2 linked regions of the Arabidopsis thaliana genome follow. The protein of the gene in region 1 interacts with the protein of each later gene in a pairwise test. Each region holds a gene or a part of one and is shown in the gene's direction. Other genes may lie near its edges. The genes, in order: SWEET1 and AT1G25510.

What was found.
Region 2: the proteins of SWEET1 (region 1) and AT1G25510 interact in a protein complementation assay, tested with the Arabidopsis thaliana proteins (one large-scale study listed by BioGRID).

The regions. Positions count from the first base shown.
Region 1 is NC_003070.9:7,511,025-7,515,428, reverse strand, and holds SWEET1 (Nodulin MtN3 family protein), read left to right. Parts: upstream 1-1,947; 5' UTR 1,948-2,147; coding exon 2,148-2,181; intron 2,182-2,298; coding exon 2,299-2,335; intron 2,336-2,450; coding exon 2,451-2,546; intron 2,547-2,642; coding exon 2,643-2,922; intron 2,923-3,015; coding exon 3,016-3,135; coding exon of another isoform or gene 3,136-3,177; exon of another isoform or gene 3,178-3,219; intron 3,220-3,222; coding exon 3,223-3,399; 3' UTR 3,400-3,679; downstream 3,680-4,404. Other genes in the region: SCL1 (SCARECROW-like 1), read right to left, coding at 3,927-4,404. UniProt on the Arabidopsis thaliana protein: Mediates both low-affinity uptake and efflux of sugar across the plasma membrane. Can transport glucose, and, to a lower extent, mannose, fructose and galactose.
Region 2 is NC_003070.9:8,958,271-8,963,185, reverse strand, and holds AT1G25510 (Eukaryotic aspartyl protease family protein), read left to right. Parts: upstream 1-2,002; 5' UTR 2,003-2,362; coding exon 2,363-3,814; 3' UTR 3,815-4,099; downstream 4,100-4,915. Other genes in the region: AT1G25520 (Uncharacterized protein family (UPF0016)), read right to left, coding at 1-89, 175-222, 309-368, 686-754, 845-862.

The DNA.
Region 1 (4,404 bases):
GACTTTTTTTTCATCGTCTCTAGAGTTACATAATCGTTAGGTCACTTGTATATATGTATTAGGCAAACTCTTATTTAAATATTGATGTGTGATCACCTACAAAATAAAATCGAAAATGAATGAATACACTAAAATTTAATAAAACGAGAAAATGTTAATTATTTATTCCGCTTGTTCCATTCATTCTGATTTTTTCGATATTAACGATCCTTCTAACCAAAAAGTACACAATAGTGGTCCAATTTCTTATTAAAAAAACAAATTTGAAAGAGAGGACAACTTGGACAAGGAAGGTCGAATATGTCTGGAAAAGGAAAGAGCTACGTGACTCGTGTGAAGAGTTGTGCCATGCCATGTGGTGCTTGCTGATACCAACGTCATCATCATTTCACTCTTCTGATAGTCTTTTCCTTTTCTCTCTAGTTCAGTACTCTTTTGCTTTCAATCATTGACGTCGGACTCAAACCAAACCTCAATCCTCGATTTTCTTTGTTTTTGGTGATAATTTATTACAATTATCAGATAATTTGTGCCTACCTAGTGAAAGCTTAATATATAATGGCATTTGTTCGTCCACATCCAAAGATTTTCAAGCTTCTGCATTTTAGATTCGGATTTAAAAGTAAGACTATTGTGGATAACAAGTTAAAAGGTGTTTTCAACTCACAAAAGATGAGAGAGCATAAAAGTATGCAGACTGAATCATCTAGCAGTCTAGTAATCATGTTACTGTGCTAAATTTTGGTTTTGCCTTCATATAGTAATTAGATCACATTGTTCTAGGTAAATATCAAAATCTCAACAAATATTGATGTAGCCAACGACAAAAAAGAAAAAATGGGTTGATAAAAATCTGCCATTTGATGAAATACGGTATCATAAACTAAATTAGATTTGCAGTGGACTTATGATAGGTTCTTGAATTTTAGCTAAATACTGCGTACATAGCTAAATTGTTTTCTTGAACTAGACGTATTAAAAATATATAATGAACACGTACGCGAGAACAGCCAATTTCATGATTTTTTCCTACAAAAAAAAAAAATTCAACAAATTTGGTCATCTTCAATAATCAACTCATCTACCGACGTTGATCCATTAACCTTAGCCTCACAATCATAACCTAATGTTCTTTTTGTTGGTTTTACTCCGGTTAAAATGATCATGAATGAACCGATATGGTTTGGGTAAAGCTGAATAAGCTAACTCGTGGTGACTAGAAAACATTCCAAAAAGATCACTCACTATACTAAAAAGTATATCCTGCGGCTGTGGTTCAACGGTATAGAATAACTGAAATTTAGTGAAACTTATTGGTGCCCTTAAATAAACTTGACAGTTTGTTAGGTTTGGTTTCGCTTATGTAACCAGAAACTTCCTAAACTGTCAAATTTTATCTAGAATCTCTATTAAAGAGGGCAACGAAAAAAAAAAAGTAACACATCATGGAGAAGATGAACCACTAGCCACTGCCCCGCAGAAAATACAGGCTCGGGCCTCGAGTCACATATCAACGTCAAGCCCAGAACACTCTGGCTTGTTCAGAGCTACTTTTAGTATCAAACAAAAAACAAAAGAAGAAAAGACATTGCTCTTTTTAGGTGTTTATTTCATTTTTAAGTATTTAACCATATCTCTATAACTATCTACAAAAGAAACGTCGATCCAAAGAGTCAGGTTCACCTCTCGAGGACGTAAAAACAAGTAACAGATAAAAAACCTCGTTCCAAAAATTAATTTGGTATCAAGAAAAAATCTGTATATATACACTAGAATTCAAAATCATGGGAACTTTTTTTTTTTTATATAAGAAATAACTCAATTAACTCAAATTTAAAACTTAGGTTTTCTCAAAACATTAGTTCTTAACCATAACTTTTTTTTCAAATTTTATTCATACTACAAAAATTAATAACAGAACCATGTATTTTTAAAATTTAATATTTAATACCATTATTTCATAATTTATTATACTTTTATTAATTTTGTAATTATTGGTGTTCCACAGTGAAGCGGTTAACACACGCTGAATCTCGATATATATACGCTTGCCGATAGAAAACACTTAGCTCATATTCTCTCACTTTCTCTCTCAGCTTACGAACAAGAAAAAAAGAAGAATCTTTAGCCACCTTTGAGATCAAAAGATGAACATCGCTCACACTATCTTCGGCGTTTTCGGTAGCAACTCATTTCCTCAACCTCTCTCTCTGTCTTTCTATCTTCTTCGTCTTTCTTCCATGAGAAATCACTGAGAGTACTACTAATCCGTTTTTGTCGTTTTTCTACTTTTTACAGGAAATGCAACTGCTCTGTTTCTTTTCTTGGCTCCTTCGTACGTATCACTTCTCTCTTCTATAGTGAACCGATTTATGATTCTTTCGATTTCTTGTTGTTCTGTTCTGGAAAAAAAAAACTCAAGATTCTTTTTTGTTCGTGAATGAAATTAGGATAACATTCAAGAGAATCATCAAGAACAAATCCACTGAACAATTCTCTGGTATCCCTTATCCAATGACTCTCCTCAACTGTCTCCTCTCTGCTTGGTAAAAAAAATTCCCTCTTTTACGTTTTTAATCTTCCATTAGAGTATAGCTCTGTTTCTTACTTCCTCTGTTTCTGCGTTTCTCTGTTTTTTTCAGGTATGGACTTCCCTTTGTGTCAAAAGACAACACACTTGTGAGCACAATCAATGGCACAGGAGCAGTGATCGAAACAGTCTACGTGTTAATCTTTCTTTTCTACGCACCAAAGAAGGAGAAAATTAAGATCTTTGGTATCTTCTCTTGCGTTTTGGCTGTATTCGCAACAGTAGCTCTCGTCTCTCTCTTTGCTCTTCAAGGAAACGGTAGAAAACTCTTTTGTGGTCTCGCAGCTACTGTTTTCTCCATCATCATGTACGCTTCTCCACTCTCCATCATGGTAAGCAAACTCAGGATTGGATCTTTTTAAAGTTCTACTCTTTACTTTTGGATTCATTTTGTTAAATTTTGTGTTTGGTTCATTGATTTACAGAGATTGGTGGTAAAGACGAAGAGTGTAGAGTTTATGCCATTCTTTTTGTCACTCTTTGTCTTCCTCTGTGGTACTTCGTGGTTCGTCTATGGTCTAATCGGTCGTGACCCTTTTGTTGCAGTAAGTTACAATTTCTCCTTCTTGTGTTGTTTTCTTTGGTAAATATCAAAACTTTGTTTCTAACTTTGGGTTTTTGTTGTTGCGAAGATCCCAAATGGGTTTGGATGTGCATTAGGGACACTGCAATTGATACTATACTTCATCTACTGTGGAAACAAAGGAGAGAAATCTGCAGATGCTCAGAAAGATGAGAAGTCAGTGGAGATGAAAGATGATGAGAAGAAGCAGAATGTGGTTAATGGAAAGCAAGACCTTCAAGTTTAAAAGAGCTTTTGAGGATGATTTGGTTATGTGATTTCGTATTAACTCTGCTTAACTAGAGTTTTCCTTTTCGTTTCGTTGGAATGTAAAAAAAATGATGCTGAAAAATGTAACGTTTCCTAGTTTCGTACTGATACACTAGTGATTGATGAAGAATGACGATGCCTTTTGTGAGTTTTATGGATCTAATGAGCTTTTGAGTTTAAGAGTTAAAACTGATAAGCCTAATAGTAAGTGAGAACCTTAACAAATTTAACCATTTGAACTGAAATATGAACATGTAAAGACTCATTCACACTTAGCAAATAGGTTTAGAACCAAAACTCTAATTATTTTTATATAATAGGGAAAAAAAAGAAAGAAAAATTCTTCCATAAGTGTTAGATTAGCTTTTAGTACCTGTGATCACCCCTAACCTCTGGTAATAATACATGGAGATGATTTAACCAGTTACACAATAACCCAAGATTACAGTAAAAACATAATTATGTTTTATGAAACATAAAGACTATATGCTCTTGTCACTTATCTTACCTCCAAGCTGAAGCAACGATTAAGCTTTTCTCCTCCCAGCAAAAATGGAGCTCACCCATTTCTTCTTTAAGCTTGTACTTATTGCAATATTGTTGCTTTATCAGGTTTTGTATATTGTTGGTTACTTTAGCACTCATTGGTTTTGGATTGAATCCAGCCATCATCATCCTTGCTCTCCATTTTCCCGCAGCCTCGTATCTCTCTATCCGTTCTTCTCCTTCGCAAGCAACAATGTTGACTATGTCTCTAGCGAGACACTGTCTTTCTACATTCATCCTCTCTTGGCTTTCTCTTGGAAGTGTCATGTCTAGAGACTCGAAAACTGCTGAGTAGTATTCGTAAGCCTCTATGAATCTGGGAAAGAACGGTGAAGTGTTTGTGTTCACGTCTTGTTCAACGACCGTGACAAGCTTTGGGTTTAAGCTTTTGACCATGTGAAGTAGCTCGTCCCGCTGGTTTACTGTTGTGACACTC
Region 2 (4,915 bases), 1.4 Mb from region 1:
CCTCCTTCTTTGAAACCGTCCCACAAAGACCATAGCCCAAAACCAAAGAACAACAATGTTGTTATGTGATGAGTCCATTTGCGAGAGATCTGAAGGTGAGGGTTTGAATCAGTATTTACTATTTAGTAAGAAAAAAAGGCTTATGTAGAAATACAAAATAAGTTGAAGCCATACCAGATTAGGAGCAGCCCATCCAAGAGTAGCAGAGAGGATAGTCATAACCTAAGAATTAAACAAAGACATAAGCTTCAAAATCTATGGAGAGAGGTCACTGAAACCAATAGGTCAAAGCATTCAGAAAAACTTACAATCAGAGCCGATAAACAACCAGCCAACACAAGTCTCCTAGGATAACGCATAGCCAAAATCTGATATGACAAAAAAAAAAAAGAGTTTAAGCTTGCAAAATCAAGATAACAACAGAAGTATCTTACACACCTTCAAAGAGCCTGTGGCAGATTCTAAACTACCAAAACACTATGAAACTGAATGGCAATATAAAAGCTACAGACAAAGGATCCAAAGATGCCATCTAGATTCTTAATCAGGAAAAGGCAATCCAATAAGTAAGACTTTAGACTTCGATTCATGTAAAAGCCATTGACTTCATCGACCTTAAACCCTCAATAGATTACATGAAGCAACAAAATCTAAAACTAAAGCGAAGAGGAGACGAAACACTTACTGCTGCAGCGAAAAACGTCTTGTCACCAATCTCCGATACAAAGGTCATAGCAAGTGACTTCGTAAAACCCTATAAAACCCCAACAATCATAAACCCAGATTAGCTCCACAACGATTCTTACGAGTTTACTCCCCAGAAAACATTAATCTTTTACTCTACCTGCAAAACCGAGCTCATGGCTGCCGAATTATAAAATCGACGGCGAATTAGCTACGAAGGAGAAGAAAAAAACGAAACTTTCGATTTTTCTCCGGCTGTGTTACAAAGAAGACGGAGTGATCAATCGCCGGAGTTAATTAACAGTCGTCGAGAGAGAGCAAATAGACGAGACGAACATTCGCTGAAGAGCTAAAAGATGAATCCTTTTTTTTTGGGGATTGTAGGTGAATTTGATTCTGATTCTTTAACCCTTAAGATCTTACCACGTGGATTGATAACAACCAACGATTTTAATGTGTGGGACCCAGAAAACCCAACTTGAGTTTAGAAGATGTTAATTTGTTCCCTTGTGTTGTTGTTTGCGACTTGCGTCACTTGCTCGAGCAAAACAATAAAGACTTTTACTTCTTTGATAACTAACTTGTCGCGATCACGATTGAGACGTAACGTTTAGAATAGTATAACACGTAAGTTTTTGAGAGATGCTCAAAACTGATTGGGTATTTTAGTATTTTTCGCTTATCTCAACTAAATTTTATTTCGTTTTATCCTACTATTTTATACAAATAAAAAAAAATTGACCGATTTCTGATTGGTGGCGAATTGATTCGCAAACGTATGTAATTATATTTGATTTGATCCAACTGTACTTATATTAATATTAATTTATTTAATTCTAAAATTGATGAATAACTAAAATCAGGTGGCAATATTCTATCTATCTCAACTGCATATCATGTTAAGCTGAGATTAGAAGTGTATTTTAGAATTTATAGTTTAGATTTAGGCAGCAAGGTTAATGAGTTAATGTAGTAGACTTGGGGTATGAAATGGCCCAAACATCCAAGTTAAAAGCCTAGATAAGAGTTACCCACAGGCCCATGAGGGACCATAAATTCACCATTTTTAAGTCAGCAAATTCCTCCACATTGTTAATACCTTAACATGATATGCATATGTATGTTTTTTTGTTGTTGTCAGATTGCGTATGTATGTATTGGTTTACAGTTATAGCTTTCTTTTTAGGTTAATTGTTTAGTATCATATAGCTTTATAGACATAGGTCTGGATAAAATGAAATAAGTGAGCTGTTATAATTTGAATGAAAGTCATCATTAACAAAGCTAAGCTCATAGCCAAATAAAATTTGTCAAAGTGCGAAGATGTGAAACACTCAAAAGTGGCTGACTTAATAAAATCTAAAACAACAATCTCCACACTAACCGCATTGAGATCATAAAACAAGTTTATTTAAATCCTCACACTTAAAGAGGATGAAGAAACCTCCTCTTCCTCTTTAACCATTTATCTAATCTTTGGATTAATTCTTCAAGAAGAGATACTTACTTATATAAATCTCCTCGAAATCTGCAAACCCCCAAAACACAGCTTGTCTTTGTTTTAATTAAAAGAAGCTTTTGTCTCATTTTCCCTTCCCCACCAAACACACTTTTGTCTTCTCTTTAATAAACCTCATTCACTTCATCTTCTTCACTGTTAACGGTCGGAATCTAAAAAATGTCTCCTAACTACTCCTTCTTCTTCTTCATCTTCTTCCTCACTTCACACTCTTCTGTTTTCTCCAGAATCTTACCAGAGACCTCCACAACCACTACCTCAATTCTCAATGTCGCTGACTCCATCCACAGAACCAAGTATACGTCGTCGTTTCGGTTAAACCAGCAAGAAGAACAGACTCACTCTGCTTCTTCTTCTTTCAGCTTGCAGCTTCATTCACGAGTTTCCGTCCGAGGAACTGAACACTCAGACTATAAGTCACTCACACTAGCCAGACTCAACCGTGACACAGCCCGAGTCAAATCTCTCATAACCCGTTTAGATCTAGCCATCAACAACATATCCAAAGCAGATCTCAAACCCATCAGCACAATGTACACCACTGAGGAACAAGATATCGAAGCTCCTTTAATCTCCGGCACGACTCAAGGAAGTGGCGAGTACTTCACACGCGTCGGTATCGGAAAACCGGCGCGTGAAGTTTATATGGTTCTAGATACTGGAAGTGACGTGAACTGGCTACAATGTACTCCTTGCGCTGACTGTTACCACCAAACCGAACCAATCTTCGAGCCATCGTCGTCTTCTTCTTACGAGCCTCTCTCTTGTGACACTCCACAGTGCAATGCCCTTGAAGTCTCAGAATGTAGAAACGCCACGTGTCTTTACGAGGTTTCTTACGGTGATGGTTCTTACACCGTTGGAGATTTCGCCACCGAGACTCTCACAATCGGCTCAACTCTAGTTCAAAACGTCGCCGTTGGTTGTGGACACAGCAACGAAGGGTTGTTCGTCGGCGCCGCCGGTTTACTTGGACTCGGCGGTGGTTTGTTAGCTCTTCCGTCGCAGCTCAACACGACGTCGTTCTCGTACTGTCTCGTTGACCGTGACTCAGACTCGGCTTCGACCGTGGATTTCGGGACTTCTCTTTCTCCTGACGCCGTCGTGGCTCCGTTGCTACGTAACCACCAGCTCGACACGTTTTACTACCTAGGCCTCACCGGAATAAGCGTCGGCGGCGAGTTGCTTCAGATTCCTCAGTCTTCTTTCGAGATGGACGAGTCAGGCAGCGGTGGGATCATCATCGACTCAGGAACCGCCGTGACTCGTCTCCAGACCGAAATCTATAACTCGCTTAGAGACTCGTTCGTGAAAGGAACGTTGGACTTGGAAAAAGCAGCCGGGGTGGCGATGTTTGACACGTGTTATAACCTTTCGGCTAAGACGACGGTAGAAGTCCCGACCGTGGCTTTTCATTTCCCCGGCGGGAAGATGTTGGCTTTGCCGGCGAAGAACTACATGATTCCGGTTGACTCGGTGGGGACATTTTGTTTGGCATTTGCACCGACGGCGAGTTCACTAGCGATTATCGGAAACGTGCAGCAACAAGGGACACGTGTCACTTTCGATTTGGCAAATTCTCTCATTGGATTCTCGTCTAATAAATGCTAAGCTGTTTTCATCAAAAAAAACAAAAATGCTAAGCTGTTTTTTCTATAAATATATTTGAGTTACAATGAAAAGGAAAAGTCACTTAAAAGATAGTAATGTTAAGTTAGAGTACTGTACTACTGTTTGGTTGTGTTTGTTTCTTGTACTTGTTGTTGCAATGCATAGAGTGAAAAAGAGTAAAAAAAAGATGGAATTTGTTTTTGCTAATTTTATGATTAAAGAGTAGAACAATGAATCTTGAGGGGCCTTGTTACAGGTCACATCACACACGAATGAATGACTCCTTCTTTTCTATGACGCATGAATACTCGTAGTGTTGAGAGTTAAAGCCCAAATACAATGTGTGATCGAAGAAGTTAAGCCCAAATACAATATGTGATGTGATACAAAATAACAAAATCTTTGTAAACCAAGAAACGAATGATTGAAAATACAATCTCTTATATGAGTTATGATCATGAAAGTGTAATCCCTAGTACTAACTGATATGAAACAAAGAAAAAAGTGATATGTTTATGGAAGATGAATTTACACAAAACTAAATTAACTCTGGTGATATTCTATTGGATATGTTTAATGAACTCTAATCATTCTATGTAAACAGTATTTTTTAAAAGAGTAACATGGCACAGAGATTTATATTATCAAAAGAGAAAGAAAAAAACATGGCACAAAGAGAGGTGGCGAAGTCATGGTGCCACTACTTGCCATCACAACATATGAAGTGGCAGCTATGGGTTCAATCATTTTGTCCTTAAAAAAAAGCTTTATTTTCCTTTCTCCTTTTTATATGTCAACCTTTTACTTTCTCCTTTGTTCATCCAAAAACATTCTCTTACTTTTACAGTTTCATGCTAGACATAAAACTTATGCCATAAGAGCAAAAAACCTGGATAAAATTCAATGTTTTTGTTAATATTTTCACAATTAAAATAGTGGTATATTTGTTGACAGAAAAAACAAAGAGTCGTAGATTCAATAGATGATTTTGACCGGTTCTTTTAAATATCTGAATAATGAGGTATACAATTCATACGTACATTAAACAACGTCCAAGCAAAAAAAAGAAGAAGAATACATAATTATATAATACAATTTATA